Linked DNA regions of Elephas maximus indicus. The protein of the gene in region 2 interacts with the protein of the main gene of each other region in a pairwise test. Links are inferred from orthologs where the notes say so. Each region holds a gene or a part of one and is shown on either strand. Other genes may lie near its edges.

Region 1 (7,876 bases), on a different chromosome or scaffold from region 2:
CATCTGCTCTGCACAAGGCCAACTGATTAATCACATTAATCATGACGAGTGTTTGGTCAAATGACTGGGAACCATATCCTAGCCACGTTGACACGTAAAATTAACCAACACATCATATGTCTCAGATAAGGATAAGTCATGTAATGGACTCAGAGCACCGAAGAAGCCTTTGAAAAGATAGTTCAGTTGAGTCTGGATGAACTGGAAAAAAAAGGTTTGGCCATGTAGAAAACAGTGTTCCAAGCACGGGGAACAGACTATGCAAAGACACAGAGGTGATGAATAAACAGGCCACCACTCTGTATGGAAAACAAAAAGCTGATTTTCTTACTTGCTTAAGCAAGGTAGATACAGTTCCCCTGAGCAAAGCAGAGAGTTGGTCTCATATAGTGTGGAGTTCAGAAAATGCTGGACTTTCAGAGGCAGGTATGCTTAGGAATTGGTTGTCCTTAAGCTGTGGGAAAGGATCCCTGGTGACACAATGGTTAAGCATTCAGCTGCTAACTGAAAGGTTAGGGATTCCAACCCACCCAGCGGCTCTGTGGGAGAAAGACCTGGCAATCCACTCCCATAAAGATTACAGCTGAGAAACCCTGTGGGGCAGTTCTGCTCAGTCGAATGGAGTCGCTGTGAGCTGAAACCCACTGATGTCAGGCAACAATAACAAGCTCTGGAAGCTGTGTGTCTGCTGCTGGTTGGTTCATTTTCAGAAGCGCTCAGGTCACTGGGGTCACTGGTTGGTTGGCTCTCAGAAGCCTGGTTAGGGAACCAGTTGTAATTGCTCCAATAACCCTATTTAAAATAATTTCTGGTGGCTCTTTGTTATCATGGATACAGAACATTCCATCTTCCCCTAGGACCACGGGAACTTTTTTATTCTCAGCGTGCTTGATGGGCAAAGGATTGGCAGGGAAGCTATGAATTACAATTATTTTGGGAGTAAAACCCAGTGCCGTCAAGTCGATTCCGACTCATAGCGACCGTTTATTTTTTGGGAATAGCTCCTTCTTTATTCCAGCCACGTGGTTCCGCTAGCTGTCAGTGTCGCCTGTGGTCATGTGACTCAGAATTGCCCCAATTGGAGTGAAGCATCCTCTTTCCTGCAGTGATTGGTCCCAAGGTTCCGGGATGAGCTGCAGATCTCAGCTGTCCTCTGGGGGTTTTCTATTACGAGACAGTAGTTAGTTTTCTTTGGTTTTGAGGCAAAGAGAGGCAGTGACAGCTAGAGAGAGCGTATGATGTCATGTCTAAGCTAGAGAGAGCGTATGATGTCATGTCTAAGCTCCCCCCCCAACCTATCCTCTTGATAATTTTGTTAGCCAACAAATCGCATCCCTTCTTTTCTGTTGTTGCTGCTAGTTTAGAGTTTTTTTTGTTTGTTTGTTTTGTTTTTCTGGCACAAGCAACCCAGAGTCCTGATGCTAGAAGGCGAGGAGGCTTGATATGGCCAGGGAAGTGCGAGTGTTTGGCTGGGCTTCCGTTTACGCACAGCAGGGACAGTTACCGTTTTGCCTGTAGGAAGATCCCTCTGGGGTCCTGTAGGGAACAAGACTGGAGGTCCAGGGGTTCGGAAAAAGAAATTGGTAGCCCAAGGCTGGAGTCTGTGTTTCTCGTCTTCCCAGGCCCCCCTGCCCCGGCCCCGGATGAGTGCCCAGGAGCAGTTGGAGCGCATGCGCAGACACCAGGAGGGTGGACGGTCCCTCCCTCACTCCACCACTCCCAGGCTTCTTACTCTGGGGAGGACACTGTCCCCAGCCAGACGCCAGCCTGACCTAGAGCAACGGGTGAGGAGAACAGATGGGGAGAGTGGGGAGATGGCATGGTTCTGGGTCCTCTGCTTCTAGCCTGATCCTCAGTTTCCCTCTTTGTAAAACTGGGATGCTTTCTACCACCTCCTTACCCATAATTTAGTTTCCAGATTCACCCCAACTTTCACCTGTGCTAGTTTGCTTCCCAGCCCACCTGGTGGTGGGTGGAGCAGCGGCAGAGACAACACTGCCACCTCACCAGCGCTTTCTCTTCAGGTTTGGGCCATGGGTCTGGATTCCAAGACCAGTTCTTCTCAGCTGCTATGTGTTGTCAAAGGCAAAATAGTAAAAAATATAAGGAAATTGATTGTTCTCAGTCTGTGGCCATTGGGAGAGCACCCCAGAACCCAGTATCAGAGTGGTTTTCCCACTCTGGTGGTTCTATCTCAGACTTTTATGAAGAGTAGAGTTCACACCTTTCATGTGGGAGAGGAAGGTTCGATTCCCAGTCAATGCACCTTATGTGCAGTGGAGGTTTACATGTTGCTATGATGCTGAATAAGTTTCAGCAGAGCTTCCAGACTAACACAGACTAGGGAGAAAGGCCTGGCAATTTATTTCTGAAAAATAAGCCAAAGAAAACCCTATGAATCACAACAGTCTGATTCTGTGAGTCCGAGCTGGCTAAATGGCAGCTCACAACAACAGACAAATTATAGGTGGAGGGCTTTACAGTTGAGATTGTGCAATCTGGGAGAGTCTCGGACAGTCAACTGAACAGGAAATGTTTAGCTCTGTGTCTAGCTAGTTTCAGGGTGACAAACAGTTTGACTCATCATTTATGAAACAAAGGACGGAAATTTGGAGGGTACGTGTCTGGGCTCAGAGTAGGTAATTCAGAGTCTTATCTAAGTCACAGGAGGCAGGGCACTCTTTGCAGCAAATCATTGCCTGGAACACAAAAAAGTGGAGGGATTTTTTTAACCTTCACTCTTCCGGAAGCGCAGGCGTCAGGTAAAGGTTAACATTGTCAGTGCCTTTCGGCTATTTTATCTCCTCTCTGAGCCCCTTCTCTTTACCCTCCAAATGAGGACATGGGGCTTCCAAGTGAAGAATCCTAATGCCCCGATTCCTTCCCAGCCTGCCGTAGACTCCTTGGGACACTCGGGAGCCCCGAAATGGCTCAGAAGCTCCGGGTCCTGGAGTAGGTGAGGAACTGGAGGGCAGGGCAAGGGAGCAGGGAAATTAATTTGCCAAAGGGGAGGGAAGCAACATTATTACTAAAAGCACCCAACTACAGAACTACACATTGCAGAATTTTAGAGACGAATGAGTTCCTGGGATGCGTGAACCAAAATCAGAAAGCCCTAGACCCGCAGTGAGAACTGCAGTTTCCATTACATCTTGGTGGCTGTCAAACCCTGCCCCTCCTTCTAGGAAATCTGGTAGATGGGACTACAAATCCTATAATGCATGTGGGCTCATGTGGGAAGCGCCATGTTTAGTTTTTTCAGAGACACGTGTTTGGGACTACGACTCCCAGAAGGACTCGCGCCGCACTGCGGTCCTCACTATACTGGCTAATTGCACATACTCTCCCCACCCCCGCCGTCCCCCCAACTTTCCTTCGGTCTAGCCCGAGGAACACCAGGCCTTACTTGCCGACATCCGACGGTCACCGGGAGAGGGTCCTCAGCCTCTCCCAGGCCCTGGCCACTGAGGCGTCGCAGTGGCACAGAATGATGACAGGTGAGGGTTTGGGGGCCTTGCACTTCTGGGTTTTAGGGAAGTTGGAGGCCTGGAAGCCTAGGTCCTGGTGAGCAGGGGCTTGGAGGCCGCCAGGAATCATTTGTTTTGGTGAGGGAAGGGCGGGGCAGGACTTGGGACTTCTAGGTCCCAGACAAAACGGGAGTGGGGTCCGGGGATCCAGGCTCTGGGGGGAATGGGGATCTGAGGGAGGAGGGCTGCGGGCTGCGAGCCTGGACTCCAGGGGCTGAGGGAGGAGGGGCTGAGGGGCCGGACTCCTGGGTCTGAGAGGAAATGCCTGGGGATCTAGACTCTTCGATCGAGAAGTTTGCCATTCTCATGCCTCATTCATCCTCTCCAGGTGGAAATTTGGACGCCCGGGGAGATCCTCTTTCCCCTGCGCCTCCGCCTCCGTCAGACCCCACACCCCGGGTTACCTTTCCCCCAAGATCTCCTCCCGTGGCTAATTCCCGCACCGCGATGCCCTCAAGCCCGGGTAGCGGGCGTAGCGTGGGCCCCGCCCCTTGGGAGTCCACGTGGCAGTCTGGTATTGCCCCTCCCGCCCTGACCTCGGCCGAGGGGGCGTGGCCTCTGAGAGTCACTCTGCTGCAGTCCAGCTTCTGACCCAAACGTCTGTCAATCGAAGCGCGGGGTGTGGCCTGGAGATACCGCCCAGAGATCTAGAGCCAATCAAGGCTCCTGGGGGTGTGGCCTGAGTCCCACCGGTAGCTAGGAGAGCGTGGTTTCCGCAGCCAAAAACTTGTTTTCCCGACGCTGTCCAAGTTTGAATTAAACTTTGAACTTTTAGTGAATAGCCCTTTTTTTTTGGTCTGTTTGGAATTGTGACACTGAGGCTTCTGAAGGAGCAGAGCGGGAGTCCTGGATTGCTAGGTTCCAAGGGAGGAAGGGACTGACGGCTCCCACTGCAGGGTGTGAGGAACCAGAGAGAACGGGACTTTTAGATCGGAGGAGGGAAGGAGCCGGGGTCAGAGGAGGAGGGGGCTGGGAGCCGGACTCCTAGGTCTGGGGGAGGAGGGGGCCAAGGTCTCGGACTCCTGGGTCTGAGGGAGGAGGGGGCCTGGACTCTTGATCTGAAGGTGGAGGGGGCTGGGTGCCGGACTCCTAGGTCTGGGGGAGGAGGGGGCCAAGGTCTGGGACTCCTGGGTCTGAGGGAGGAGGGGGCCTGGACTCTTGATCTGAAGGTGGAGGGGGCTGGGGTTGAACTTCCCAGGTCTGAGGCTTTCCTGGCACCGCCCCTGGGGCCGGGCTTCAAGATTCAGCCTCTATTTAGGACTTGACCCCGACGGCCTTAGGGGACTTCGGAGGTGGAAAGAGGCCTGGAGTGGCAGACAGAAGAGACTAGCTGACGCGGAATGGCCACGGGAAGGCGCTACGCTGGGAAGGTGGTCATTGTAACAGGGGGCGGACGCGGCATCGGAGCCGGGATCGTGCGTGCCTTCGGTGAGTTGGGGTCTGCGTGCTTGGGTTTGGGGTTCTGGGAGAGGAGCCCGGGGGCTGATAGGAGTGGGAGGAAAGGACCCCAATAGTGAAGTCAAGACTCTTATAAAAAACCAATTTTCATGCCATTAACTGCCGTCGAGTGGATTCCGACTCATAGCCACTGTGTAGGACAGAGTAGAACTGCCATATAGGGCTTCCAAGGAGCAGCTGGTGGATTTAAACTGTACACCTTTTGGTTAGCCGCCGATCTCTTAACCACTACTCCAGCAGGACTCCTCTAATTTTCAGGCTAAGGTAGGGTTTTTCAGTGGTAGCCTGGGGCTTGAGATTTTGAGATCTTTCTGTTGTCTAAAGGCAGCTCCTCCCTTCTTGGGATCTCGGGTATTAGGGCTGCAAAACAGGTGGCTTGGGGAAGGTATCTCTTGCAGGCTTAGGGTTGACTCTGGAGCCGGGGACGGGGGCCTGGGAGCCCTTAGCAGGCACCTGGAGTAGCCTAGCAAAACAGATGTTGGGGCCTTTGCCCTTTGTCCCAGAGGATCATCATGAGACTTGAGTGTCACGAGGGGTGGGAGGGCTGCTCGGCCCTCTCTCCTGGTGGCCACAAGGGGGCAGCAGAGGCTTTCACCAGGTCTGTGCTGGGGTAACCTGTTCCCTTTCCTCTTCTCAGTGGAAAGCGGTTCCCACGTGGTCATCTGTGACAAGGATGGTGAGTGAGAGTCCCTCAGTCTTTGCCCCCAACCTTTCCTCCTTCAGACCCAGGAGCCTGAGCCCCCAGTCTCCTCCTCCTTCAGATCCGAGGATCCTGGGTCCTGGCCCTCTCTTTCTTCAGACGTGGGAGTCCAGACCCCTGGCCTCCTCCTCCCTCCGACCCAGGATTCCAGGCTCCCAGCCCCCTCCTTCAGAACCGGGAGTCCCAGCCCCCTACTCCCTCAGATCCAGGAGTGGAGGCTCACAGCCCTTCTCTCCCTGCAGAGTGTGGGGGCCGGGCCCTGGAGCAGGAGCTTCCTGGCACTGTCTTCCTCCGCTGTGATGTGACTCAGGAGGAAGACATGGAGGTGAGTGCATTTTCTATCCACACTCCCCAGCTCCAAATGTTACCATCTTTCTCTGTCTCTGCCTTTTTTCTCCTCTGAGCTATTGTACCTGCTGTTCCTTCTTCCTTTCCCTTTCCTTCTCTCCTGGTTATCTGTCCTTTGTATCTGTCCCAGATGATTCAGACCATGTCATTTTGCCCAGAGACTTCTTCTGATTCTGCCGGCCAGATCACATGTCCCTTGAGTAAATTCTGTTTTCTTTGCCACATCCTAAAGGCTCTTACCACACCTGTCACATGGTTGAGTTCCTCCAAGTGGTCTCCTTCTTAACAGTCCCTGCCTCCATCTCTGGATTCTATCCCTTCCCTCTAATCAGTATCTCTCTGGGTCTCTGTCCCTCACTCTCTGGGTCTCTGACCCCCTCTCTCTGGGTCTCTGTCTTCCTCTTTCTTTGAGCCTCTGTCCCCCGTCTCTGGTTCTCTGTCCCCCTCTCTCTCTGGGTCTCTGTCCCCCTCTCTATGAGTCTCTGTACCCCTTTCTCTATGGGTCTTTATCCCCCTCTTTCTGGGTCTCTGTCCTCCTCTCTCTTTGAGTCTCTGTCCGCTTGTCTCCCTCTCTCTCTGGGTCTCCGTTTCCCTTTCTGTCTGGGTTTTTGGCCCCCTCTCTTTCTCTGGGTCTCTGTTCCTTATCTCTCTGGGCCTCTGTCCCCCTCTCTGGGTCTCTGTCCCCCTCTCTATGAGTCTCTCTGTACCCCTTTTTCTATGGGTCTCTGTATCCATCTCTCTCTGGGTCTCTGTCCCCCTTTCTTTCTGGGTCTCTATCTTCTTCACTCTGCATATCTGGCTACCTCCCAACCAGGTCTCATTCCTTCTCTCTGCATTTCTGAAATGACACTGCAGTGTGGCCATAAGTACCCTCACATGCCTGATTACCCTGAAAGAGTCTCACCCTTTCTCTAGCTCCCCTCCCTGCCTTGCTCTTAGGATCCTTGGATCCCTCCCCCCTAGGGGCTGGTACCACAAGCTGTTCCCTCACTGAGTGTCTCTTTCTCCCCAGGCCCTAATCTCTGAGACTGTCCGCCGTTTCGGCCGCCTGGATTGTGTGGTCAACAATGCTGGCTACCGTGAGTTGTGAGGCCCCAAGGCCAACCTGCCCTAAAGCCAGCTCACCTCCTTTTACCCTCCCCTTCATCCTGCACTGCAGTTTCCCCTTTTTCTGACCCCGATTCCCTCATCCTCCTCTATACCTCTCTATGTCTTTGGGCAGGACAATACAACTATGGCATCCCCCAGGCTGGGGCTTTAATCCTGACTCAGTTTCATTCTTGCTGTGTGCCCCAAGCTGGTGTCTTCACCTCTCTGTGCCTCAGTTTTCACATCTCTAAAATGATGTCATTGGGGGTTCAGTGGTAGAATTCTTGTCTTCCACGCGAGAGACCTGGGTTTGATTCCCAGCAAATGCACCTCGTGCTCAGGGACCAGCCACCTGTCAGTGGAAGCTTGCGCGTTCCTATGATGCTGAACAGGTTTCATCAGTGCTTCCAGACTAAGAAGGAAAATCTGTTGCTCCGTTTCTGAAAATCAGCCAATGAAGATCTTATGGACACAACAGTCTAACCCGCAACCGATCATGGGGATGGTGCAGGGCTGAGCAGCGTTTTGTTCCACTGACCCCACGTATTGGCAGGGAATCTAACCGCGTCTCCCATATAGAAAGTGAGAATTCTACCTTGAATCACCACTGTCCCCTGTTGGGGATTTAGCAGTGAACAAAACAGAGAAAACTTTCCTGCCTCTATATGGAATTCACATTCTAGAGTGAGGAACTAGACAATAAAACACCAGGATATGATAGGATGTCTGGGGCGATGCATACTGTGAGAAAAAT
Region 2 (7,661 bases):
TTGAAAACATTATGTTAATAAAAGAAACCGGTCACAAAAGGCCACATATTATATAGATCCCATTTCTATGAAATGTACAGAATAGGCAAATTTATAGAAACAGAAAGTAGATTAGTGGTTACCATGGGCTGGAGGGAGGAGAGAATGGGGACAGACTGCTAACGAGTTTGGGGTTTCTTTTTGGGGTGATGAAAATGTTCGAAGTTAGTGGCGACGGCTGCACAACTCTGAATACACTAAAAAAAGCCCCCCAAAAAACAAAAAAACCCCACTGGATTATACATTTTAAAAGGGTGAATTCTATGAAATGTGAATTTTATCTCAATAAAGCTTTTTTTTTTTTAAGGGTCTTAATTCATTTTGAACTTAGGTTATTTTTATGAAATAAAATTCCTATTTGTTGTCATTAAGGTCTCTGGGTCATGATGCAGGAAACTGAAAGTAAGCTGCCATCACTTTGATTTTGTAACTTTCAATTTGCAAATAAGAATAAACCGGTTCACTTCTAGGTTGCACGGACTACTACCCGGTCATTTGTGCTGTTTCCCACCTAGGAGAAAGTTGGTCTTCACTACGGCCAAAACAGTACAAGTGCAAAAATCTATTCTTGAGAAAATGCCCTAACATTTTTACTTAAGACAAAGCACCTTTCCTAAAAAAGCCTTAATTTTCTCCCATAACCAGGGGCTCTTGAGGCTTCCCTGCTAAAATCACAGTGCTGAACAATGTTTCTCTTCAACATTCGAGGTAGCAAAAACTATCGTGAATTGTGGCAACGTTTTAATGCCTTAAGAATAAACAATGAAGACAAACTAGTATTTACCTAGTGTGAGAAATATTATTTTAAATGTTTACTTGCTCTAGTAACAGTAATATTAATAATTACTATTACTGAACAACTATAATGTGCTAAATAAACATTGATCTAGGTTCTTTACAAATAGACTATTTCATTGAGTCCTCATGATAATCCTTAAGAAGCTATTTTTATCTGAATCTCATAGATAACAGATATCTCAGTAAACTGAGGCCTAGAGAGATTAAATAGATTATTTGTCCTTGGTCCCAAAGGTAAGTAAGAGAGCCCAAACAATAGCCCAGGTCTTTTTGCAGTTAAATGTTCTTTCCTCTATGCCTCCATATTCCTCTCCGAAACAAAAAGGGAAGCCAGAAACTTGAAAAAACTGAAAGAAGACTCTTCTTCCTATCTCACAAAAGTAGTGCTTTCAAAAAGTTGACTGTTCCTAGAGTCCAGTAAAGAAAACATGGAAAACAAAAGATCATCAAAAGTAACCAGTAGTCAGTAGGCACAAAAGAACCATGCCATGTCCCACATCTCATATATTCCTTCCTGATTTAACAGTTTTCCCATGGATTCTAATTATTATTTTAGGATGTCAAAATGTAATGATCTCACTATGGAAAACCCCCAAACAACTGGCAGTTGGCACAGCTGGAGAGCTCACGACTAGACAGGGAAGGAAAAGGGAATCAGTTGGCAGGAAGTGGTGCTAATCTAAAAACATCAAAGGTCTTTAGCATTAACACTGTAATTCCACAGCACTTTAATCTGAACCTATCTTTGCATTCCCTTGTATTATTTTAATACTGTATTACTAAAAAGCTGGCTCCCGCATTATTCTCCATAGGTCTATTAAGATCCTATATAAAATAGGTCCGCTATACATAAAAAAAAAAAAAATTTTTTATATATAGGTACCACTGACCTTCATTTCTCTCTTGCTAAAAGTCACAATTTCAAAGGATTATCCCAGAGGGAAACGGCTAAATCAACTAGGAAAGGTGGCACGTGGGCACAACCAAACATGAATTTCATCACCAGGCAGACGGTGGCTGGCAGAAATCCTAAATGCACAACTAAAACACATTCCTCCTTATACTTTCAGAACTGTGCCCAAAACAAATTGAGACTGTAAACCAACAGCAGGATGATAGATGGGCAATTGCTAAAAGCCTCAACATACACCAAAAAAAAAAAAAAAAGTAGCTTAGAAGGTCTGCTCTTCAACTAAGCAACTGAAATTGACAGGATTTGGTACATTTGTACAAGCAAGCATTACAGCACAGGAGAGGATGAGATCTCTAGGGCTGGCCAAATCCTTGGGAAATTCTAAAGAAATAGTCCCGATTTTGGGGTCACCTTGTAATAATTCCTAATGGGAAAGGGCCAACTCAAGATAAAGTAAGATCTGGTTGGAGAATTTTGCCCCCGAAGGCGGCGCCAACAGAATCTTTGGAGAACCCAAGTGAAAGATTCGTATGTGTCAAACTGAGGGTTATCCCAGGAAAGGGGCCGTCCTCGTGCAAGCAACCACCTGTGTGGAGACCCCCGAGAGGGAGTTTTGTTTAAAGTGAGAAGCAACCCTCCGAGCCCAGAACGGACTCTGGCTACTCACCCAACTCCACTGCCCCTTAGGTCCGGTCTCTGGCCACCTCCTGACTGAGGACAGCCTCTCCAGAGACCTCCGACCCCAGATTCTGCTCTGCTCCCACACACAGCTGTCCCCCAAAGCTTGCCGCCCGTTCCTCTTCCTGACAGCTGCCCTGCAGCCACAGGCGGTCCCCGCTCCCCCACCGGGATTCTCCAAACCAGCCATCCGGAATCTGCGACGCCCCAGGCCCGCGGGATTTAGACCGTAGGATCTGGAGGAGTTTGGTCCAGTCCTCTCTCCCTGTCAGCGTCCTGGGCTCACCTCCCCGGCAGCTTGGCGTTCCTTTTCCAAAACTGCTTGCTGTTCTCGGAGGCCATTGCTCTGGCCCGGGGAAAGCGTTGTAGGCGGGCCGTGGGGGAGCCGGCGAGACGCCCCCAGGACCCCGCAACCGGAGGGCCAACCCAGGCCGCTTCCCTGCCGCGGGTCACCCGCTCCCAGCTCTTGGGGGCGCCATCTTGGAAGTGGGCAACCCCTTACCCAGCGCCGCTGCCATTGGTGGGCTATGCAGGCTGTAAACGGGAGAACCAATCGAAAGCCAAAATCCTGCAAGCTGCTGAAGCCGAACGTCAACGTCAGGGACCGGGCACACAGGTGGACCGGGAAGGCGGAGCTTGGACGAGCACGGAGGCGGAGCTGAAAGTTCCTACCCCTCAGGAGAAGCAGGTAAAGAAAGGGACCTATTGGAAGGAAGAAAGGGTTCCCTTTTCTTTGGGGGATGAAGCCTCTTGGGATCCTGAATCTAATATTTCTTGGAAAGAGAGAGCTTGATAATGTATACATAAATCTGTAACCTGAAAGTAAGGCCCTATGTATTGGTTGCTGCCCGTCTTTAAACACCTGTCAAATTCCCTTCCCCCTTCCTTGTTGGGTTTGGGCTCTGCTTTTTTTTTTTTTTAATCTGTGAAGGAGGATGATACAGATTCTATAGCCTAGAGCTGCTAACTGTCCAACTTGTGAGTAACGGCTGGTTCTGCACGGAGTATCCCCGGCCTCTGTTAATTGAATACTTGTGCTGTGGGTGAAATTCAAATGACCTAATAATCCCTGTTTCAATCAATAACTTACTATAAGAACCCAGATGCTGACAAACAGTGTATGGGACAGACTAGAACTGAGCCATAGGGTTTCTAAGGCTGTAAATCTTTAAGGAAGGACTGCCACATCCTTCTCGTTCAGAGTGGCAGGTGGGTTCCAACAGCTGACCTTTAGGTTAGCAGCCAAGGTCTTAACCACGGCGCCACCAGGGCTCTTCAGTTCAAACTACCAGGTCTTATTTCTTGCTAAAACATAGTAGCTCTCCACGGTGTGAATCACAAAGATTAAGGATGTACCTCTCCCCCTCCCCCACTTAATTTCTCTTATTACCGGTTAAAAACCGTTGTCCATTCCGAATCACAGAGACCCTATAGGACGGAGTGGAACTTCCCCATAAGGTTTCCAAGGAGCGGGTGGTGGATTCAAACTACTCACCGTGTGGTTAGCAGCCAAGCTCTTAACCACTCTGCCACCAGGGTTTCGATTTCACTTACTAATCTAGTGTAAATCTTTCACCCTTAAATTCATTGTCAATCTAATTTTGGCTCAGAATGAGATTTAAAATTAGCTTTTTAAATCCTTTAAATGCCTTTTTGATATTTTGCTCTTTTTAAGTTTCTGTGGTTGTATACCATGGTGATTTACAGAGGGTGGGAGTGAGAAGTAGTTTTTGCCCCAACAAAGATGTTCTTTGCCTCTTTGAAAGTAGAGACTTTTGAGGCAAACCGGTTGTCCCTTCCCCACCCATATTTTACTGCTACTACATGTCCTAGCACATGTTGGAACTTACTTAAAGACCTTCCCCCTCCCCAAAGAAGTACATTACCCCCATTTTCAAGCTTCTTTTGTCTCTTAATTCCAGAATTAAGGGATTCTTGTATGAAAGGAGCTATTTTTACCCTCTCCAAATCTTTGGTCCTTTTACAGACTTTCATCTTATCTTCTCTCAGATAGTCACCTTTATGGGCTTTTAATTCATCACACAAAAGGCCCTCTTTTTTTTTTTTTTTTATCATTTTAGCTGCCTTTCTAGGGCTCTTTTCTTTCTTTGGATGCGGCGAGCAGCACTGCACACTGAGCCCAGAGATGTGTGTCCTGAGCTTTTGTTGATGCTGATGTTTTCCTTTACTCTGGACATCCAGAACTTTTGCTGGTCTTTCAGACTTTAGAAGAGCTGATGTCTTGAAGGAATGATCTACAGAGACTTCTAGATTGCTTTCCTTGGTGGTAACTGACAGTTCAGATTTCATTCTCTTAAAGATATCATCTGCATTGTCTTTCCCTACGTGAGCCCCCTTACACTTGTCCACAGGGTAAGACACCTGCCTCTTTCCAGCCTACTCACATGGCTTTAGAAATGTTCCAGAAGAAGCTCCCTATTGACCTGATATTTCGCTATGTGGAAAGCAGAGTATAATTTGTATACCTAGACATGTCTTAAAGTATTCCTTTTTCTTAATCGTTTATGAAATGTTACATAACACTGATTCTCAGGGGATGCTGTTAACATTGTTGAACCCAGAGAAGCCCTTATTATTTCTATTCATTGTCTTCTACATCTAAGACAGTTTCAAATACAAGACAAGAAAAATCCACCCCAGCATCCTGGTGCATAAATTTTTAAATAGTCTTTGGTAGGAAGGTCAAGAATCCCTGGACCCTTTCTCACCACCACCGCCACGACCACTCAAACCTAAACCAACCACATCTTTGCTTGAACCTTTATAGCAGCTTCCTATTAGGCTGCCTGCTTCTACTGTAGTTTATCCTCCACATAGCACCCAAAGAAAACCTCTTAAAATACGGGTCAGATCATGTCACTCCTCTGCTCAAAACCTAGTAATGGCTCCCATCACCGTTGGTATTAAATCCAAATTCCTTAAATGCACTACATGATGTGGTGCCACCCACCTCCAATCTCATCTCATTCAACTCTCCTCCCTGCTTAATCTGTTCTAATCACACTGGCATTTTTGCTGTCCCTTGAACACTGCCTACTTCAAGGCCTTTGCATTAGCTGTTTCCTCTGCTTGGAATTCTCTTTTCCCAGATATCTGAATGGCTTGGTCCCTCATTCCATTCCTGTGTATTCCCAAATGTCTTCACCTTGGAGAAGACTTCCCTGATCACCCATCTTAAATAGTAGGCTCCACCTACTCAGTTTTTTTTTTTTTTTAAATAGTGCTTTTTTTTTTACTATCTGCCATATCATGTACTTGTTTTTTGTCTGTCTCCACCCACGAAAAGCAAACTCCACCCTCCCCAGGCAGGGACTTGGTTTTGTTCTCTACTATATTCTCATCACATAGATTAGTATTTAGCACATCCAAACCAAACTCATTGCTGTTGAGTAGATTCTGAATTATGGCAACGCCGTGTGCTACAGAGTAGAACTGCTCCACAGGGTTTTCTTGGCTGCAGTCTTTAGGCAAGCAGATTGCCAGGTCTTTCTCCCACAGAACCACCGGGTGGATTCAGACTACCAACCTTTTGGTTAGCAGCCGAGCTCTTGACCATTTATGCTACCAGATCTCCTTGTTTGGCACATAGTGGGTGCTTAATAAATATCTATTGAGCTAGAAAACAGAGAGTGTAAACAATTCATGTCTTCTATGTTGTTCATATACATTTCTGGTTGGGAGTGATTATGAAAACCATGTTTCCTAACTCCTAGTAGGATGTGTCCATTTACCAAAGATTCTATAAGCTCGCCCATACCCTTTTTTGAAGAACAGTCTTACACACTTAGGAAAAAGTGTCATTTTCAAACCCTTTTGCAGCTTCTGAGAAATGTCTCTGTACCTAGAGTGATGAGGGAGAGAGGCCACACACCTAACCAGGAGATTAATCAAATCGACCCTGCCCATCAAAGGGGAGATAACTGTGGCAGCCAGATCACCCTCACATCAAGTTTTGCCTAACTAGAGGTAAAAATCACTAGTTTGAGGTTCCCATGGGGTCCTTAGAGCCCTTTTGATGGAGGTCCATAGTGGCAGGCACAGACTGGTCCACTAGACCAGTGTTTCTCATCTGTTAACGTACATATGCATCACCTAGGGAGCTTGTTAAAAGCCTAGATTCTGATTCAGTAAATTGGGGTGGAGCCTATAATCCTGCATTTCTAACAAGCTCCCAGGTGACACCAATGCTGTACATCTGTTAATAGCACTGTATGGCTCCGTGATGAATTTATCCCAGAGGTTTGATTATTTTGAAGCTATACGTAAAGGACTCTCAATGTTGTCTGCCTGCAGGTTTTCACCTTTCCCCTCCTTAACTTCATCTTCATTTATAAAGGGAGTAAAACAACTTTTGTTGTTGTTAGCTGCCGTAAAATTGGCCCCCAACTCATGGCAACCCCACGCACAATAGGACAAAATGCTGCCTAGTCCTGTGCCGTTCCTATGGTCAGTTGTAGATCAGACCACTGTGATCCGCTGGCTTATTTTCAGAAGTAGATCACCAGGCCTTTCTTACTAGTCTGCCTGAGCCTGGAAGCTCCACTGAAACCTGTTCAGCATCATAGCAACACATAAGCCTCCGCTGACAAAGGGTGCATTGGCCTGGAATTGAATTTGGTCTCCAGCGTGGAAGGCAAGAATTCTATGGGACGAAGTAGAGTTAAGAGAAGGAGATATGCAGCGGCTGAATGTGGACTAAAAAGAGGTGGGGCTATCCCACGCCGCAGGGAAATTTTATGGAAAAAATAAGCCCTGAGTGGGGACACACAGGAAAAAAAGAGAAAGACCTGAAGAATAGTATGGAGGTTGTTTTAGAGCAGAGGCTCCATGGGGAAGATAAAAATAGAGAAAAAAGCTTTTGGACTTACAAAGAGGTCACAGGCAGACTTTAACTTCAAGCAGTGAAGTGGAAGGAAGTAGACACTGATGAGGAGAAGGGGTAAGAATTCAAACAAGAAGCAGCCCTCACAATGCACTGCAAAACGTTAGGCTGCCAGAGGGATGGTGGGGCCAAGCTGGGATTTAAGAACAAGAGAGCTTTTTCAGTACCTAAGCAACCACAGTCATTGTTGTTGTTAGTTGCCATTGAGTGGATCTGACTCATGGTGACCCCATGTGTTACAGAGTAGAACTGCTCTATAGGGTTTTCTTGGCCGTAATCTTTACAGAAGCAGATCACCAGGCCTTTTCTTCCTTGGCATTGCTGGGTGGG
Region 3 (7,668 bases), on a different chromosome or scaffold from region 2:
TGGTATTAAGGAAGTTTGCTCTGGGTCCTTTAGGGTTTCCTTGAACTTGAAGATGTGATGACTTCATTTTGATCAAAGAGATTTTAAAGAGAATTCCACATATAGCCCCAATATGTTTCATTTGCTTCTTGGTAGATTGAAATATGAAATATCACGACTGGTTATTCCAAACAATCTCCCATGGGGCGGGAGGGAGTACAGTGGGGACTAAGCAGCTGGGAGAAGAGAACCATGAAAACAGTAATCCTACGTGAGTGCTTTAGTTCAGTTCACCAAATACTGATCGAGCTTCTACTACGTGCCAAGTATTGTGCTAGGTGCTGGGGATTTAAAAAAGGAGCAGACCAGGTCCTTGCCCTCTCTGCCTAACAGATTTGTGTTTCCTAAATACAAGATAGAAAAATATTTACCTCTGACTATAGAAAAAAAAAAACCAAACCCGTTGCAATCAAGTCAATTCCAACTTATAGTGACCCTAAAGGAAAAAGTAGAACTGCCCCATGGGGTTTCCAAGGAACGCCTCGTAGATTCAAACTGCCAACCTTTTGCTCAGCAGCTGTAGCTCTTAACCACAACGCCACCAACTGTTAATTTATGATAGGGGAATGTTGCAACTGCACAGTGGCTGCCTCAATAATCCTGGAGAAAGTATCAAACTAGGCCATCAATCCTTATGGGGAAATGTGAAAACAGGTTTATTAAAATGTAAGGCAAATTTGTCTTGTGGATATAGAGAACATGATGGCAACTACTGCATTGCTAAATACCTTGGACTATACTGTATAAAATGAGCCCTGGTAGTGCAGTGGTTAAGCAGTTGGCTGCTAACCGAAAGGTTCAAACCCACCAGCCGCTCTATGGGGGAGAAAGATGTGACAGTCTGCTTCCCTAAAGGTGACAGCCTTGGAAGCCCTATGGGGCAGTTCCACTCTGTCCTGTAGGGTCGCTATGAGTTGGAGTTGACTCAATGGCAACAGGTTTGGTTATACTGTGTAAGAGTAATGTTGAACTACTCTGGTTTAAGTGATTGTTCACAGCATATTGATTTTAGAAATCACATTCCCAAAGAAGACATGCTTGTTTTATTTTCTTCTTTTAAGTATGAGTCCTTCAAATCTACATTTCTTTTTTTCCCCTCAAGTTCAATGGTTACCATGAAAAGGCATCATGATCATTTAATATTAACTAAATAATTTTCACTGTAGTTTAGAGCTGAAAAAATGGGTTTATACTGAATTGTAGAAACAGAAGATGTCTGGAAAAAAACTCCTGAGGATTATTCAGTATTAAAAAAAAAAGACTTGTTGCTATCGAGTTGATTCCGACTCATAGCAACCCTACAGGGCAGGGTAGAACTGCCCCACTGGGTTTCCAAGGCTGTTAATCTTTACAGAAGCTGACTGCCACCTCTTTCTCCTGCAGAGCCGCTGGTGGATTCCCACCTTTGACCTTCTGGTTAGCAGCCTAAGGTGCTTAACCACTGCACCACTCAGTATAGGCGTTAAGAATGTTTTCTCTGGAATGTGAAATGAAATTCTAGCTCCCCAAATAACAGTGTCTACTTCTACCTCTACCTCCATAGTGTTTTGGGGAGGATTAAGTGAGCATGTATGTTAAGGGTTTGCCAGTGCCCGACACATGTAAGTATTCTCCCAATTGACAGCTCCTTAGTAATTATGCCAAAAAGGGCCACTGGCTCCAAATTGAGGGCTGCTCTAAGGTTGCTCTCCCGAGGCAGCATCAGCAAGAAATCCAGCGCAGGCCAAACAGGAATGTGTTTTTAACTGAAAGCTGAACGGCAAATTGAAAAAGTAGGTGAAGTTAAAAAAAAAAAAGGTGCCTGCCATTTCACATTTCAGTCACTTCATTTGGTATCTGGTGAGCTATAAATAAACATTTAAAAAAAAATTAACACCCAACAGAAAAAAAAAGTAAACTGGGTGGTAAGACAGAGGGATAGGGTTTGGGCAATGACTACGACTTCTGAGCGCATGGGTTCAAAAACACTCCTGCACTACTGTAGGCAAGGCACTTAACTGTTTTGGCCTCTGTTTTCCTCATCTAGAAAATGGGAGTAACAAAAGTTCCTGCCTCGTAGAGTTACAGTGTGAACTAAACGAGAGCATGTCTGCAGAAGGCTTGCCACCGTTCCTGCCACAGGGTGGTCCCACCACTAACTGCAGCAGCTGACACTCAGCACTGGTCACTAGACGCGTGACTATTACCCCTAGACAGGGGCCGCAGGAAGTAAGGAGCCTGGAAAAGGTGGGTGGCACATTTTTCTGTGCCGCTTTCTGTCTCCGAGGACTGCGGGGAGGATTAAACGAATTAATCCATGGAGAGCGCTTTAAACTGCGCATGAGGCATACAGCGCACTCAGCGGCACTATTAGTGATTATTCCTATTATCACTGCGCAAAAAGCCCGGCCGTGGGTCCCTCGCACAGGCGTCCTCCCGCGCGCTGCGCGGGAACCCCCGGACTCCACGCAAGGCGAGCGCGAACCCTGCCGCCACCTAGGCAACTCTGTCACAGCTTCGCAGCCGGGAGAAGCCGCGAGCCTCCCAGCCCTCGGCGCCGCGGGGCGAGCGCCCCCCGCCAGACCACCGCCCGCCCGCGCACCCGCGCACCCGCGGCGACCTCGCCCTCACCTTGCTGCAGGTCCCGATGGTCGTACCACGGCTCATCCTCCTTCAGCTCGAACTCCTCCACCAGGTTCTCCGCCAGCATCTCGGCCGCGTCTTCCGGGGGCAGCGGTCCCCGCCGCCGTCCCGCCTCAGCCGCTGCCCCGGGCCCTCCGCCCTCAGCCAGAGCCGCCCTCCGGCGGGCGGGACCCGCCGCCGCCCCGGCCCCGCCGCGCCGCCGGAACAGAGCCACCCGCCGGCCTGCAGCGTACGCCTCGGATGGGCTTCTCGGCTGGCCTGCACCGCCCCGTGGCCCCAACGGCCGGCGCCCCGGCGCGAGCGGGGGCCCCGGCTGGCGCCCCAGCCGGCTCGCAGCGCCGCAGCCGAGCCCAACGTGGCACTTTGGCAGAACCCTCCCCGACCGGGGCTGCGATTCAAACCCCAGGCGGCGCCTCGGCCAATCGCAAGCTGGCAGCCGGTCGAGCGGCGGCGAGTTAGTCCAATCGGGTCTCACCAATTGCCCGCGGCTCGACCGGTCTCAAGGGCAAACAGCCAATGGCGCCTTCGGAAGAAACAAAGAAGGCGGGAAAAAGAGAAGGGGTGCGGCCGAGATGCCCCGCCCGCCACTCTGCGTAGTGGAGCTTCTGGGAGTAGTTGGGTCCCTGGAGGGGTTGGGGCGGCTGCTCCTGTGTGTGCGTCCGGCCGGCCAGTCAGCCAGTGGACGCGGCGGCCGAAGGGTGCTGGCAGGCTGCTTGGGCATGAGGGCGAGGAGTTTGGGCACTGAGCAGTGGGCGGTGGTCTGGCGCTGTCTTCATGCAGGCGGGAGGCGCGAAGGGGGCCGGGAGCCCCAGGTCCCTGCCTGGCCTGCCCGTTCTTGTCTTTTGTCTCCCAGGTTTGCCCTCGCTGGTGCGGGGAAATTAAGAGTCAATCGGGAATTTGAGGCCGAGGAAGATACCCTCGGAGTGTTAGCTGTTTTTTCCCTTAACGTCTGTGTACTCATCCCCACACCGCTGGGAATTTTACTGGCTCCCTGTAAAGCAGTACGTCCCAGCACCACTTGAGAATCTACTGGGCAAAGAGGTGCCGTTGGAGCTATCTCCTTAGGAAAAAAAAAAAAAAAATTACAGTTTGCATATGAATATAAAAGGTTAGTAGACCACTAGTTAAGCATCTGAGGTCATGACATTGCACCAGGAGGGGAGAGAATGCAGCCCTAGCACTAGTATGCTGGCAGGGCGTGGACGCTGTTCACACAGACATGCTGTAACAAGCAAGTGCTGCACAGGGGTTTTCGGCTGTTAGCATCATCATGTAGAGAAAGAACAGAAGCCCATACATATATAGGGTGACAGACCAGAAAGTCAGTGTTCATCAACCTTAATGTAAAAGTAAAAGGCACAGTTGAAAGAAGGAGGGAAAGACAGCGTCTGACAGAATGGAAGTCAACATACTATCTTATGTTTATGGAACAAAAATTGAGGTTTAAGTGTTTTATTCAAAGATTATCTCTAGAAGAACTTAAACCCAAAAAACCAAGCCCATTGCCGTACGGTTGATTCTGACTCATGGCAATCCCACGTGTTACAGAGAGAAGGGCTTCACAGGATTTTCTTGAGCGCGCTGGTGCTTTGCTAACAGCTTGGCTGCTAACCAAAAGGTTGGTAGTTCGAATCCACCAGTCGCTCCTTGGAAACCCTATGGGGCAGTGATACCCTGTACTACAGGGTCACTGTGCACACTTTACTGTGGTTAAAAAATAAGGGAAATTACGCGGAAGGAGTTAAAGATTCTCAAACTATGTTGTTGTCCTATACAAATGAATAAAGACTTCAGTAATTTCAATGAGGACAAAAACCCACCCTAAATATTCTTGTGGGTATTAAAATTTACTGTGTCTCTCCACCTTCCTATCTTTGCTCACATAGTGTAATCTCACGCTGATGCTATGACTGTCTAAGAGCTTAACGCCAGTGCTAGCTAGTGCATAGGATGTAAGCTATTACCCTCAGGAGAAGTCTTGCCAAGGATAAGAAAACCTCCCCATTGTGAGGTTGTTTATCCTTCTGTCCTTAAGGAAGTCTACTTTATATGTGGAAAGTACAACGGACCTATAGTCAGAAGACCTGGAGTTCTATCCCCAGATGTTCCAGTAGAGAAGTCTTCAGCTTCTTTAGGCTTGCTGGAGGGATTACCTCTCTGCCTTGCTCACAGTTATGAGAATCAGAAACAAATTATGAAAAAGTATTTAATGTCCTTTTTAAATGTAAGATGGTGTCATTGTTACTGATACTGTTAAAATACAGGTACCCTTGGGGACAGTTGTTATTGTTGTTAGGTGCTATTGAGTCTGTTCCGACTCATACCAACTCATGTACAACAGAAGGAAATGCTTCCGGGTACTGTGCCATGCCCACAATTATTGCTAGGTTTGAACCAATTGTTGCAGCCACTGTGTGAATCCACTGTTGAGGGTCTTCCTCTTTTTTGATGATTTTCTACTTTATCAAGCATGATGTCCTTCTTTGGGGACTGTTCCCTCCTAATAACATGTCCAAAGTATGTGAGACAAAGTCTTGCCATTCTCCCTTCTAAGGAGCATTCTGGCTATACTTCTTTCAAGACAGATTTGTTTGTTTTTCTGGCAGTCCATGGTATATTCAATATTCTTCGCCAACACTGCCATTCAAATGCATCAATTCTTCTGCCTTATTCATTGTCCAGCTTTCACATGCGTATCAGGTGATAGAAAATACTATGGCAAGGAGGCAGGGCCAAGATGGCAAAGTAGTCAGACGTCTCCGGGAATCACTCTTACAACAAACACCTAAAAAAACAAGTGCAATGGTTATATATATGACAAGCTAGGAGCCCTGAATGTCAAAGGCAAAGTTAGAAAACGGACTGAGCAGCAGGGGAAGGGAGAGATGGTTCACAAACAGAGAGGAGTTGCCCAACCTGAATCACTGGGAACCCTCAGGCACTATTCCCTGGGGCAACCACAGTGGGGCTGGTGGTAGCGTTCAGGAAGTGGTTTCCTCAGGGAGACACAGTGAGCCACACAGCCTACTCACACATCCAGAACCAGAGAAGAACTGCATTCTTGGCAAAAGCTAAGTACTTGTGTTTATTTTACCGGGCCCCCAGCCCCCAAGCCGGCTTCAGTGGTTGTCAATTTCCCTGGGCCTGAGACAGGTTCTGCTGCATGCTCTGAGCCATTCTCCCAGCCTAGGAGAAGTAATAAATTCACAATTGAGGGAGAAGATAATCTGCCAGCTCCACTAAGCTGGGGAGCTCAGGACAGACGCAGCTCCTATCCAGGCACAAACGGTCTGCAGACTTTGAATACCTTTCATCCCTATGTGGACCTGTGTTGGCCCATTTCAGGAGAATAGGCCCTTGTTGGCAAACTGCAACTATTTCAGCGGTACAGTGGAGCGGTAGATGTTTGAAGTTTGACACCGCTTTGCCTATTAAACAGGGTCCTCACCTACCCACATCAGGGGCTTAAGGACTGGTAGCTCCACCAATTCACTAGCCACCCATGACAGGGGTCCAGGGATAAGTGGTACCTCCCAGTCCTTACAACCAAAAGCACTGGGTGCCCATGGTCTGGCTGCAGAACCCACCCACCAGTGTGCTCCAGGGAACAGGGACACACTGTCCTCACAGATACTCAGGGGAAGGTTGTCAGCCTCCTGCCTTATTCAGAGCATGACCCCCTGCTGTAATCAGATACCTGTACCTACACCAATCACTCTTGCCTCTCTAAGACTTTAGGACAGAGCCTGTACCACACATTTGATGACCAACTACCAGGACACCTGAGCTGAATCCATACAAGAAAAGTGAATGGGCTCCTAGACTCATATACCTGGTAACAGCTCTCTTTCTATTTGTTCATTGCAGCACTGTTTACAATAGCAAAAATATGGACGCAACCAAGGTGCCCATCAACAGATGAGTGGATAAATAATTTACGGTATATTCACACAAAGGAATACTATGCATCAATAAAGAACAATAATGAATCTGTGAAACATTTTACAACATGGAGGAATCTAGAAGGCATTATGCTGAGTGAAATTAGTCAGCTGCAAAAGGACAAATATTGTATGAGACCACTATTATAAGAACTCAAGAAACAGTTTAAACAGAGAAGAAAATATTCTTTGATGGTTACAAGAGTGGGGAGGGAGAGAGATAGAGGGGTATTCACTAATTAGATAGTACTCAAGGACTATTTCAGATGAAGGGGAAGACAACACACGATACAGGAGAGGTCAGCACAATTGGACTAAACAAAAAGCAAAGAAGTTTCCTGAATAAACCAAATGCTTCAATGGCCAGCGTAGCAGGGGTAGGGGTTTGGGGACCCTGGTTTCAGGGAACATTTAAGTCAACTGGCATAATAAAATCTATTAAGAAAACATTCTGCATCCCACTTTGGAAAGCGGAGTCTGGGGTCTTAAACACTAGCAAGTGGCCATCTAAGATGGATCAATTGGTCTCAACCCACCTGGAGCAAAGGAGAATGAAGAACGCCAAGGACACAAGGTAATTACAAGCTCAAGAGACAGAAAGGGCCACATAAATCAGAGACTACATCAGCCTGAGACCAGAAGAACTAGATGGTGCCCCACTACAACCGATGACTGCCCTGACAGGGAACACAACAGAGAATCCCTGAAGCAGCAGGAGAACAGTGGGATGCAGACCTCAAATTCCCATAAAAAGACCAGACTTCATGGTCTGACTGAGACTAGCAGGACCCCGGAGGTCATGGCCCCCAGACCTTCTGTTAGTCCAAGAGAGGAACCATTCCCAAAGCCAATTCTTCAGACAGGGATTGGACTGGACTATAAGATAGAAAATGATACTGGTGAGGAGTGAGCTTCTTGGGTATAGTAGACACATGAGACTATGTTGGCAGTTCCTGTCTGGATGGGAGATGAGAAGGCAGAGGGTGTCAGAAGCTGGCTGAATGGACATGGAAATATAGGGTGGAGAGAAGAAGTGTGCAGTCTCATTAGGGGGAGAGCAACTAGA
Region 4 (7,947 bases), on a different chromosome or scaffold from region 2:
GAATATGCAGTAGGAGTAAAAAATTGATGCTATTATTATCCAGACTTGGGCAGTTTTCCTTTAGCCAGACGTTAAAGCAGGTCTGAGTAGAAAAGCTAAAAGTTAAAGCAGGTCTGAACAGAAGAGCTAAAAGTGAGACACCTCAAGTGGCTGACTAGAGCGAAGTCAGCCACGGTCAAGATCAGTCACTACAGTAACATCCCCACTCACCTCCACCCCTGGCTCTGGGATCAGCCAGTGGCCAGTTGGCTAATGAAACAATATGAAGAGGAAACTTCGTGGTGCTGGTGGCAGGGAAGTAGGGACAGATATTTACGAAAAGGAATTTGGTTAAATTTCTATGATAGGGGATGCTATACAAATTCTACTCCTTAGCTCTCTATGAAATTTTTGGTTTAATATCCATCCTTGTTTTGTGGAGTTGGATCTATTTTGGGGTTGTGTTGAAGTGCTGAGTTGAGTCTTAAGTGCAAGAGTAGAGGGAAGTGTGGGACACCTGGTGCAGCAAGACGGGAGCAAAATGGCCAGGAGGTGCTGCACTGTAAGAACCGAAGAGTGCACGAGGCCAGCAGTGTCAGTGCCCTGGGCGTAGGCACCCATCACCCAAGACACCAGACAAAGTCGCTAAAAGTTGGAAAGCTGTGATTTTCAAGCGCAGATCCACAGATCACACTATAGATTCTTAATTATAATCACTTGAAATTTCCCCCCACCCTCACCAAAAGTAATTTCCACATCCTTCTATTAATGCTGGAAACCCTGGTGGCATAGTGGTTAAGTCCTACTGCTGCTAACCAAAAGGTCTGCAGTTCGAATCCGCCAGGTGCTCCTTGGAAACTCTATGGGGCAGTTCTACCCTGTCCTATAGGGTCGCTATGAGTCGGAATCTACTCAACGGCCGTAGGATAGTAGGTAGGCTATTAAAGCTAAATTTTAAAACTCATGTATCACCAGGGAGTTTTTGGCATTGTTAAGTGTCAGCTTATTAAACAGAAGTTTCTTAGCACTTACCCCATTGTATTTTGGGCCTGGTTCTCCATGTTGAGAAGCTGCTGAATCTGGTTTATGGTTCTTGATTTTTAATCTGTTAGGAGAAAAAATTATCTAGAGTCCTAAAACGCTTACATTAATTAACCCACAAAATATGAACATTTTGCTATCAGCAAACCATTTGAGGTTAGTTTTTCTGAGCGGAGTAGCTCACGATTCTACAAAATGTTGAAATTTGGGCTTTTTTTGGCAGGGTGTCCCATGCAGCTATGATATTGATTAATAATAACTTGAAATATGTGGTACTGACTGAAATGAGCGCTCATTCACTATTTATTGAACAATAGCTCAGCACCAGGTACTATGCTCAGTACATGAGGATGAGTAAAATAGAATCATTACTCAAGAGGAGCTCCAGTTGGATATTCACAAACTTTTCTTTCATGTGGATCCCCTAAATGGTTTACCTTTGAGCAAATTCTTTCTTTAGTCCTTTCTGAGTTTTGCTAGAATGAATATACTACGAAATTTAGGACAAAAAAGGTTAAGAATTGCCTAAAAATATAAATCTTACCATTCCTCAATGGTTCCATGGGCACTGGCACATCCTCTTGACAAAATAGAGATATCAGTACTTGCCTAAAGCAAAAGATTTTTCCCAGCAACAAAGTTTTAGTGAAAAATAATCTACGAGGATAAATGGACAAAGTATTGAAAAAGGACTTCAACTCCTCCGCATCACTGAATAAAAGTCAGTCAAACAGCAGTCGAAGTAGTAGGATGAGGAAGAAGGCTTCGGGCTCATTCCACTATCAAATCAAAGGAAATTAAGAGAAGTCCTGGAATTGTGTGTGGAGGGGTGGGGCAAGGGGTAGGGGCAGTGAATGGAAAGCTTGACCAGGATGAAGGGATGAATGATTTTGTAGGCTCTCAAATCCCTCAGTTTAATGTCAGGGAAACTGAGGCACAGACATACTAAGTGACTTGTCCATGGCCACACAACCAGAACCTAGGCCTTCTAACTCAGGGAGAATCTCTGCTCTGGATTCTGCAAAGGCGGCTCTTATATCCCTCGGTCCTACCACCCGCTGCGCTGCCCAGCCTTGACCCCGACCCCCGCCCCAACCCGCGCACAGCTCAGGCCCAGTCTCCCCGGAGCAGCCGGCCTGTTGGGGTCCCCCCCCCGGCAAGGGTCACCCGCGCCTGACCCGGGGGACGAGGGTCAGATCGCGAAGCGAGACCGGGGAGGCCTGGGGCCGGGTTACCTGCGCTGCGCGGCGCCCGCCGGAGAGGTCTGAGGCTCCGGGAGCAGGAACGCCTGGGCCTCCCTCCCGCCCCGCCTCGAGGGCCTCGCCACCCGCCGCCGCGCTCCCGCCGTCCGGGCTCGCCCGCCGCGCGGCCGCCTAGGCCGTTGCGGCCTCTCCCGCCCGGCTTACCGCGGTCCGCCGCTTGGCTCCTGGTTGCCATGGGGACGCGGCCCGAACTCGCGGCCGTCGGGGTGGGGGTGGGGGTGAGGGTGGCAGGGAGTGCCCGGCGGAGGCGCGGGCGGATCGGCGGGAGGCGGTGGCCGCGGGGCGTCTCGGGCCGCGCGAAACTTCAGCCCAGGCGAGTGCGACCTCGCTGCCCCGCTGCTGTGTGGCTAGTGTCAGCTCGCTAGACGCAGAGCTCCCTGAGAGCACCTTCTGAGTCATTTTTTCTTTGTGGCTTCCAGTGCCTAAAGCAGGGACCGGCAATAAACAAGGGCTCAGAAAGAATGAAATAACTAAGGAACAAAGAGTAAACAGCTGGGGGTTCCGCACTCAAGTTCCTTAAATTTCCCTGACCGTTCTCTCACCTGTCCCAAACTGAAACGTGATCAAGGACAGAGTGAACAGAGCTGGCTTTTTCTCTTTTCACCAAAATGTCTTTCAGCCCGGAAGGGCTGGATTTCCTTAACTGTGTTGCTTAGTCCACAGTACTCTGGTCGCGGTAACTGCAGCATTTGTACCTGTCTTTTTTTTTTCCCACTGGGTCCTTAGAACAACTCTGCGTGTTGGCGAAGCAAATAGTATTGTCTCCCATTCAAGGAGAAGGAAGTAACTGCTAAGTGGGGGGACCTGGGGTGGAACCCAGGATGACTGATTCCAGATTCTTTCCTTTTCCACCAAATTCCAAGAGTGATGATACAAGTGCTGTCTCACTGTCTTGATTTCACATTTCACAGCGGAAATGACAGGAAATAATGTCATAGCCTGTAGCTATAACATTATCTCTCAAAGCTAACTTTGAGAGATTTTTTTAAAATAATTTATTTTTTGTTGTTGAAAATATAAACAGCATTTAACAATTTCTACAGGTACAATTCGATGACATTGATTACATTCTTCAGGTTGTTGTCACCCTCCTTTTCCAAATTGTCCCTCCCCCATTAACATAAACTCACTGCCCCCTAAGCTTCCTATCTAACCTTTACTGTTGTTTTTGTCAATTCGATCCATTTAGATAGTTCTTTAAAAGAGCACAATACTCAAGGCAGACATTCTTTACTAATTAAGCTAAACTGTTGTTTGGCTTAAAGAAGACTTAAGCGCTTGGATTTTCTGTTTGAAAAATATTCTTGTATCTATTTGAGGAACAGACTTCCTTTCTAATACATCTAGCTGATTAACTTCTAGTCCTTAAAATCTTTTATTTGCACTCTACTTTCATAACATTAACATTAATTTGCTATTTAATATGGTTATCAATTTAATATCCTCCCACATTCCTCCATCCAGGTTCCATTTCAATTTCATAAAACCATTTGCTGCTTCTTAACAAATTGAGTCTCATAGATGAACTGTATAAAGTAACTCAGGTTATTAGTTTTAAATAAGTGTTTCATAGCACATATGTTATGATTGAATGAAGAGAGTGATCATTTCATCTTAACATTATTCTGAAAATCCTAGTCATGTTCTTTTATTCTTTTGTAAACTAAATGGATCGATGTATTTTTCTTGACCCGAGGAAGAAAAAATGGAACTTGGCAAGGGCTGTTAATGAAGTTTCAGGATGCCCAAGGTCACTCGTGCTTGTGTAGCTCTTTACTATTGGTCAGTATTTTCACATTCATTATTTCCTCAGGTGCTCAAAAGTACTCATGAAGCAAATGTAACAGGTGTTATTAGGAAACCAAGGCTTAGCAAGAATAAATGATTTGTCCAAGATGATATATCTACTTCAAGTGCAGCTAAGATACGAACCCAGGTCATATAACACCAAATCTACCAAAATCAAACCCACCGCTGTTGAGTGGATTCTGACTGATAGCAACCCTATAGGACAGAGTAGAACTATCGCATAGGGTCTCCAAGTCTGTAATCTTTATGGAAACAGACTGTTACATCTTCTCCCATGGAGCGGCTGGCGAGTTTGAACCACCAGCCTTTCAGTTAGCAGTCAAGCACTTAACCACTGTATCGCCAGGGCTCCTTACTCCAAATCTAGTGCTCTTCAAACTCTGTCTAAAAAATAAGTTTGACAATAAAAGGAACTATGAAAAGGAAATCAGGAGAGCAATACCATTTATAATAGCTCCTAAAAAAGTAAAATACTTAGGAATAAATCTAAGCAGGGACATAAAAGACCTATACAAAGAAAACTACAAAATGCTGCAAGAAACCAAAAGAGACCTACATAAATGGAAAAATATACCATGCTCCTGGATAGGTAGACTGTGAAAACTGTCAGTTCTATACAAAGCAATCTACAAATACAATGTAATTTCGACATAAATACCAACAGTATTCTTTAACAAGATGGAAAAACTAATCATCAACTTTATATGGAAATGGATGAGGCCCCGGATAAGTAAAGCACTACTGAAGAAGAAGAATAAAGTAGAAGGACTTGCACTACCTGACCTCAGAACATACTATACAGCTACGGTAGTCAAAACAGCCTGGTACTGGTACAATGACAGACACATTGACCAATGGGACAGAACTGAGAACCCAGATGAAAACCCATCCACCTACAGTCTCCTGATCTTTGACAAAGGCCCAACATCCATTAAATGGGGGAAAAGACAGTCTTTCTAACAAATGGTGCTGGCAAACTGGGTGTCCATCTGCAAAAAATGAAACAGGATTCATGCCTCTCACCACACAAAAAAACTAATTCAAAATGGATCAAAGAACTAAGTATAAAACTCGAAACTATAAAGATCATAGAAGGAAAAATAGGGCAAATTCTAGAGGTCCTAATACATGACATAAACCATAACTAAGAACACACAAACACCAGAAGGTAAGCTAGATAACTGGGATCTTCTAAAAATTAAACACTTATGCTCATCAAAAGACTTCACCAAAAGAGTATAATGAGAACCTACAGATTGGGAAAAGAAATTTGGCTACGACAAATTCAACAACGGTCTAATCTCTAAAATCTCTAGGAAAATCCAACATCTCTACAACAAAAAGACACCTAATCCAGTTAAAAAATGGGTAAAGGATCTGAACAAACCACCAAAGAAGACATTCAGGCAGCTAACAGACACATGAGGAAATGCTCAAGATCACTAGCCATTAGATAAATGCAAATCAAAACCACAATGAGATACCATTTCGCCCCAACATTACTGGCACAAATCCAAAAAATAAAAAATAACAATTGTTGGAGAGGCTGCGGGGAAATTGGAACTCTTATGCACTGCTGATGGGAATGCAAAATGCTGCAACCATTTTGGAAAATGATACGGTGCTTTCTTAAAAAGCTAGAAATAGAAATACCATATGATTCAGCAACCCCTCTCCTAAAAATATAGCCTAGAGAAATAAGAGCCGTCACATGAATAGACATATGCACACCCATGTTCACTGCAGGATTATTCACAATACCAAAAAGGTGGAAACAACCCAAGTGCCCATCAATAGATGAATGGATAAACAAACTCTAGTACATACACACAACGGAATACTATACAACATGAAGAACAATGATGAATCTGTGAAATATCTCATGACATGGATGAATCTGGAGTGAAATAAGTCAACCACAAAAGGACAAATATTATACGAGACCACTACTATAAAAACTCATGAAAAGGTTTACACAGAGAAAGAAACACTTTTTGATGGTTATCGCGGGGTGGGGGGAAGGGAAAAACACTAAATAAACTATATATAAGTGGTAATTTTGGTGAAGGGTAAGAGAGTACACAATACTGGGGAAGCCAGCACAACTTGACAAAGGCAAGGTTTTTGATGCTTCATAGACATATCCAAACTCCCTGAGGGACCAAATTACTGGTCTGAGGGCCGGGGACTGTGGTCTCGGGGGACATCTAGCTCAATTGGCATAACATAGTTTATAAAGAAAATGTTCTACATCCTACTCTGGTGAGTAGCGTTTGATGTCTTAAAAGCTTGTGAGCAGCCATCCAAGACACTCCACTGGTCCCACTCCATTTGGAGCAGGGGAGAATGAAGAAAACCAAGGACCACAGCTACCATAGCTTCCTCCAGGTTGCGTCCAGCAAAACTAGATGATGCCTGGCTAGTGAGCTTGACTGCTTTGACAGGGATCACAATAGAGAGTCCTGGACAGAGCTGGAGAAAAATGTAGAACAAAATTCTAACTCACCAAAAAAAAAAAAAAAAAGAAGACCAGACTTATTGGTCTGACAGAGACTGGAGAAACCCTGAGAGTATGGCCCCTGGACACCGTTATAGCTCAGTAATGAAGTCATTCCTGAGGTTCACCCTTTAGCTAAAGATTAGACAGACCCATAAAATAAAATGAGACTAACTGGGCACACCAACTCAAGGGCAAGGACGAGAAGGCAGGAGTGGACAGAAAAGCTGGCAATGGGGAACCCAAAGTCGAGAAGGGGAGAGTGTTAACATGTCATAGGGTTGGTAACCAAGGTCACAAAATAATATGTGTAATATTGTTTAAATGAGAAACTAATTAATCTAAAGCACAATTTAAAAAAAGTTAAAACAAGTAAGGTTGATATGTAAGGATGGTTCAACTTTGGAAAATCAGTCAACGCAATCCACCACATAAATAAAACAAAGAATAGGAGTCACATGATTATCTCAATTGATGCAGAAAAGGCATTTGATAAAGTCCAACACCCATTCATGATAAAAACTCTCAACAATATAGGAATAGAAGGGAAATTTCCCAACATAACTAAGGGAATATATACAAGACCAACAGCCAACATTATTCTCAAGGGAGAAACACTGACAGCATTTCACTTGAGAAAGGGAATAAGAATGGATGCTCTTTATCACCACTTGTATTCAATACTATACTGTAAGTCCTAGCTAGAGCAATAAGGCAATAAAGGGAAATAAAGGATATACAAATTGATGAGGAAGAGGTAAAATTATCCCTATTCACAGGTGATAGGATCATATACATAGAAAATCCCAGAGACTGCACAAGAAAGCTACTGGAACTAATCCAAAGATTCAGGCAAGTGGCATGGAACAAAATAAACAAATAAAAGTCAGTTGGAGACAGAAGGGGCCACATAAACCAGGGACTACATCAGCCTGAGACCAGAAGAGCTAGATAGTGCCTGGCTAAAACCGATGACTGCCCTGACAGGGAATACAACAGAGAATCCTTGAGGGAGCAGGAGAGCAGTGGGATGTAGACCTCGAACTCTCATAAAAAGACCAGACCTAATGGTCTGACTGAGACTAGAAGGACCCCAGAGGTCATGGTCCCCAGACTTTCTGTTAGCCCAAGACAGGAACCATTCCCAAAGCCAACTTCAGAAAGGGATTGGACTGGACTATGGGATAGAAAACGATACTGGTGAGGAGTGAGCTTCCTGGATCAAGTAGACACATGAGACCATGTGGGCAGTTCCTGTTTGGAGGGGAGATGAGAGGGCAGAGGGGATCAGAAGCTGGCCAAATGGACATGAAAATAGAAAGTAGAGGGAAGGAGTGTGCTGTCTCATTAGGGAGAGAG

What was found.
Region 1: the proteins of TBC1D22B (region 2) and HSD17B14 interact in binary tests that used the Homo sapiens proteins (3 or more experiments, as listed by UniProt). The link is inferred for Elephas maximus indicus from reciprocal best matches to the Homo sapiens genes TBC1D22B and HSD17B14.
Region 3: the proteins of TBC1D22B (region 2) and CDR2 interact in binary tests that used the Homo sapiens proteins (3 or more experiments, as listed by UniProt). The link is inferred for Elephas maximus indicus from reciprocal best matches to the Homo sapiens genes TBC1D22B and CDR2.
Region 4: the proteins of TBC1D22B (region 2) and DEUP1 interact in binary tests that used the Homo sapiens proteins (3 or more experiments, as listed by UniProt). The link is inferred for Elephas maximus indicus from reciprocal best matches to the Homo sapiens genes TBC1D22B and DEUP1.

The regions. Positions count from the first base shown.
Region 1 is NC_064829.1:99,266,622-99,274,497, reverse strand, and holds the start of HSD17B14 (17-beta-hydroxysteroid dehydrogenase 14), read left to right. Parts: upstream 1-4,867; coding exon 4,868-4,955; intron 4,956-5,622; coding exon 5,623-5,661; intron 5,662-5,927; coding exon 5,928-6,010; intron 6,011-7,045; coding exon 7,046-7,112; intron 7,113-7,876. Other genes in the region: PLEKHA4 (pleckstrin homology domain-containing family A member 4), read left to right, coding at 1,623-1,784, 3,254-3,497, 3,856-4,118. UniProt on the Homo sapiens protein: Catalyzes the NAD(+)-dependent oxidation of L-fucose, yielding L-fucono-1,5-lactone, which rapidly converts spontaneously to L-fucone-1,4-lactone. Can also act on D-arabinose and L-galactose, with lower catalytic efficiency. Does not use NADPH.
Region 2 is NC_064819.1:100,950,721-100,958,381, reverse strand, and holds the start of TBC1D22B (TBC1 domain family member 22B), read right to left. Parts: upstream 3,007-7,661; 5' UTR 2,771-3,006; coding exon 2,715-2,770; intron 1-2,714. UniProt on the Homo sapiens protein: May act as a GTPase-activating protein for Rab family protein(s).
Region 3 is NC_064830.1:82,439,137-82,446,804, forward strand, and holds the start of CDR2 (cerebellar degeneration-related protein 2), read right to left. Parts: upstream 3,003-7,668; 5' UTR 2,729-3,002; coding exon 2,650-2,728; intron 1-2,649.
Region 4 is NC_064825.1:27,651,975-27,659,921, forward strand, and holds the start of DEUP1 (deuterosome assembly protein 1), read right to left. Parts: upstream 3,015-7,947; 5' UTR 2,825-3,014; intron 2,705-2,824; 5' UTR 2,427-2,704; intron 2,393-2,426; exon of another isoform or gene 2,256-2,392; intron 2,226-2,255; exon of another isoform or gene 1,565-2,225; intron 1,085-1,564; 5' UTR 1,041-1,084; coding exon 1,012-1,040; intron 1-1,011. UniProt on the Homo sapiens protein: Key structural component of the deuterosome, a structure that promotes de novo centriole amplification in multiciliated cells.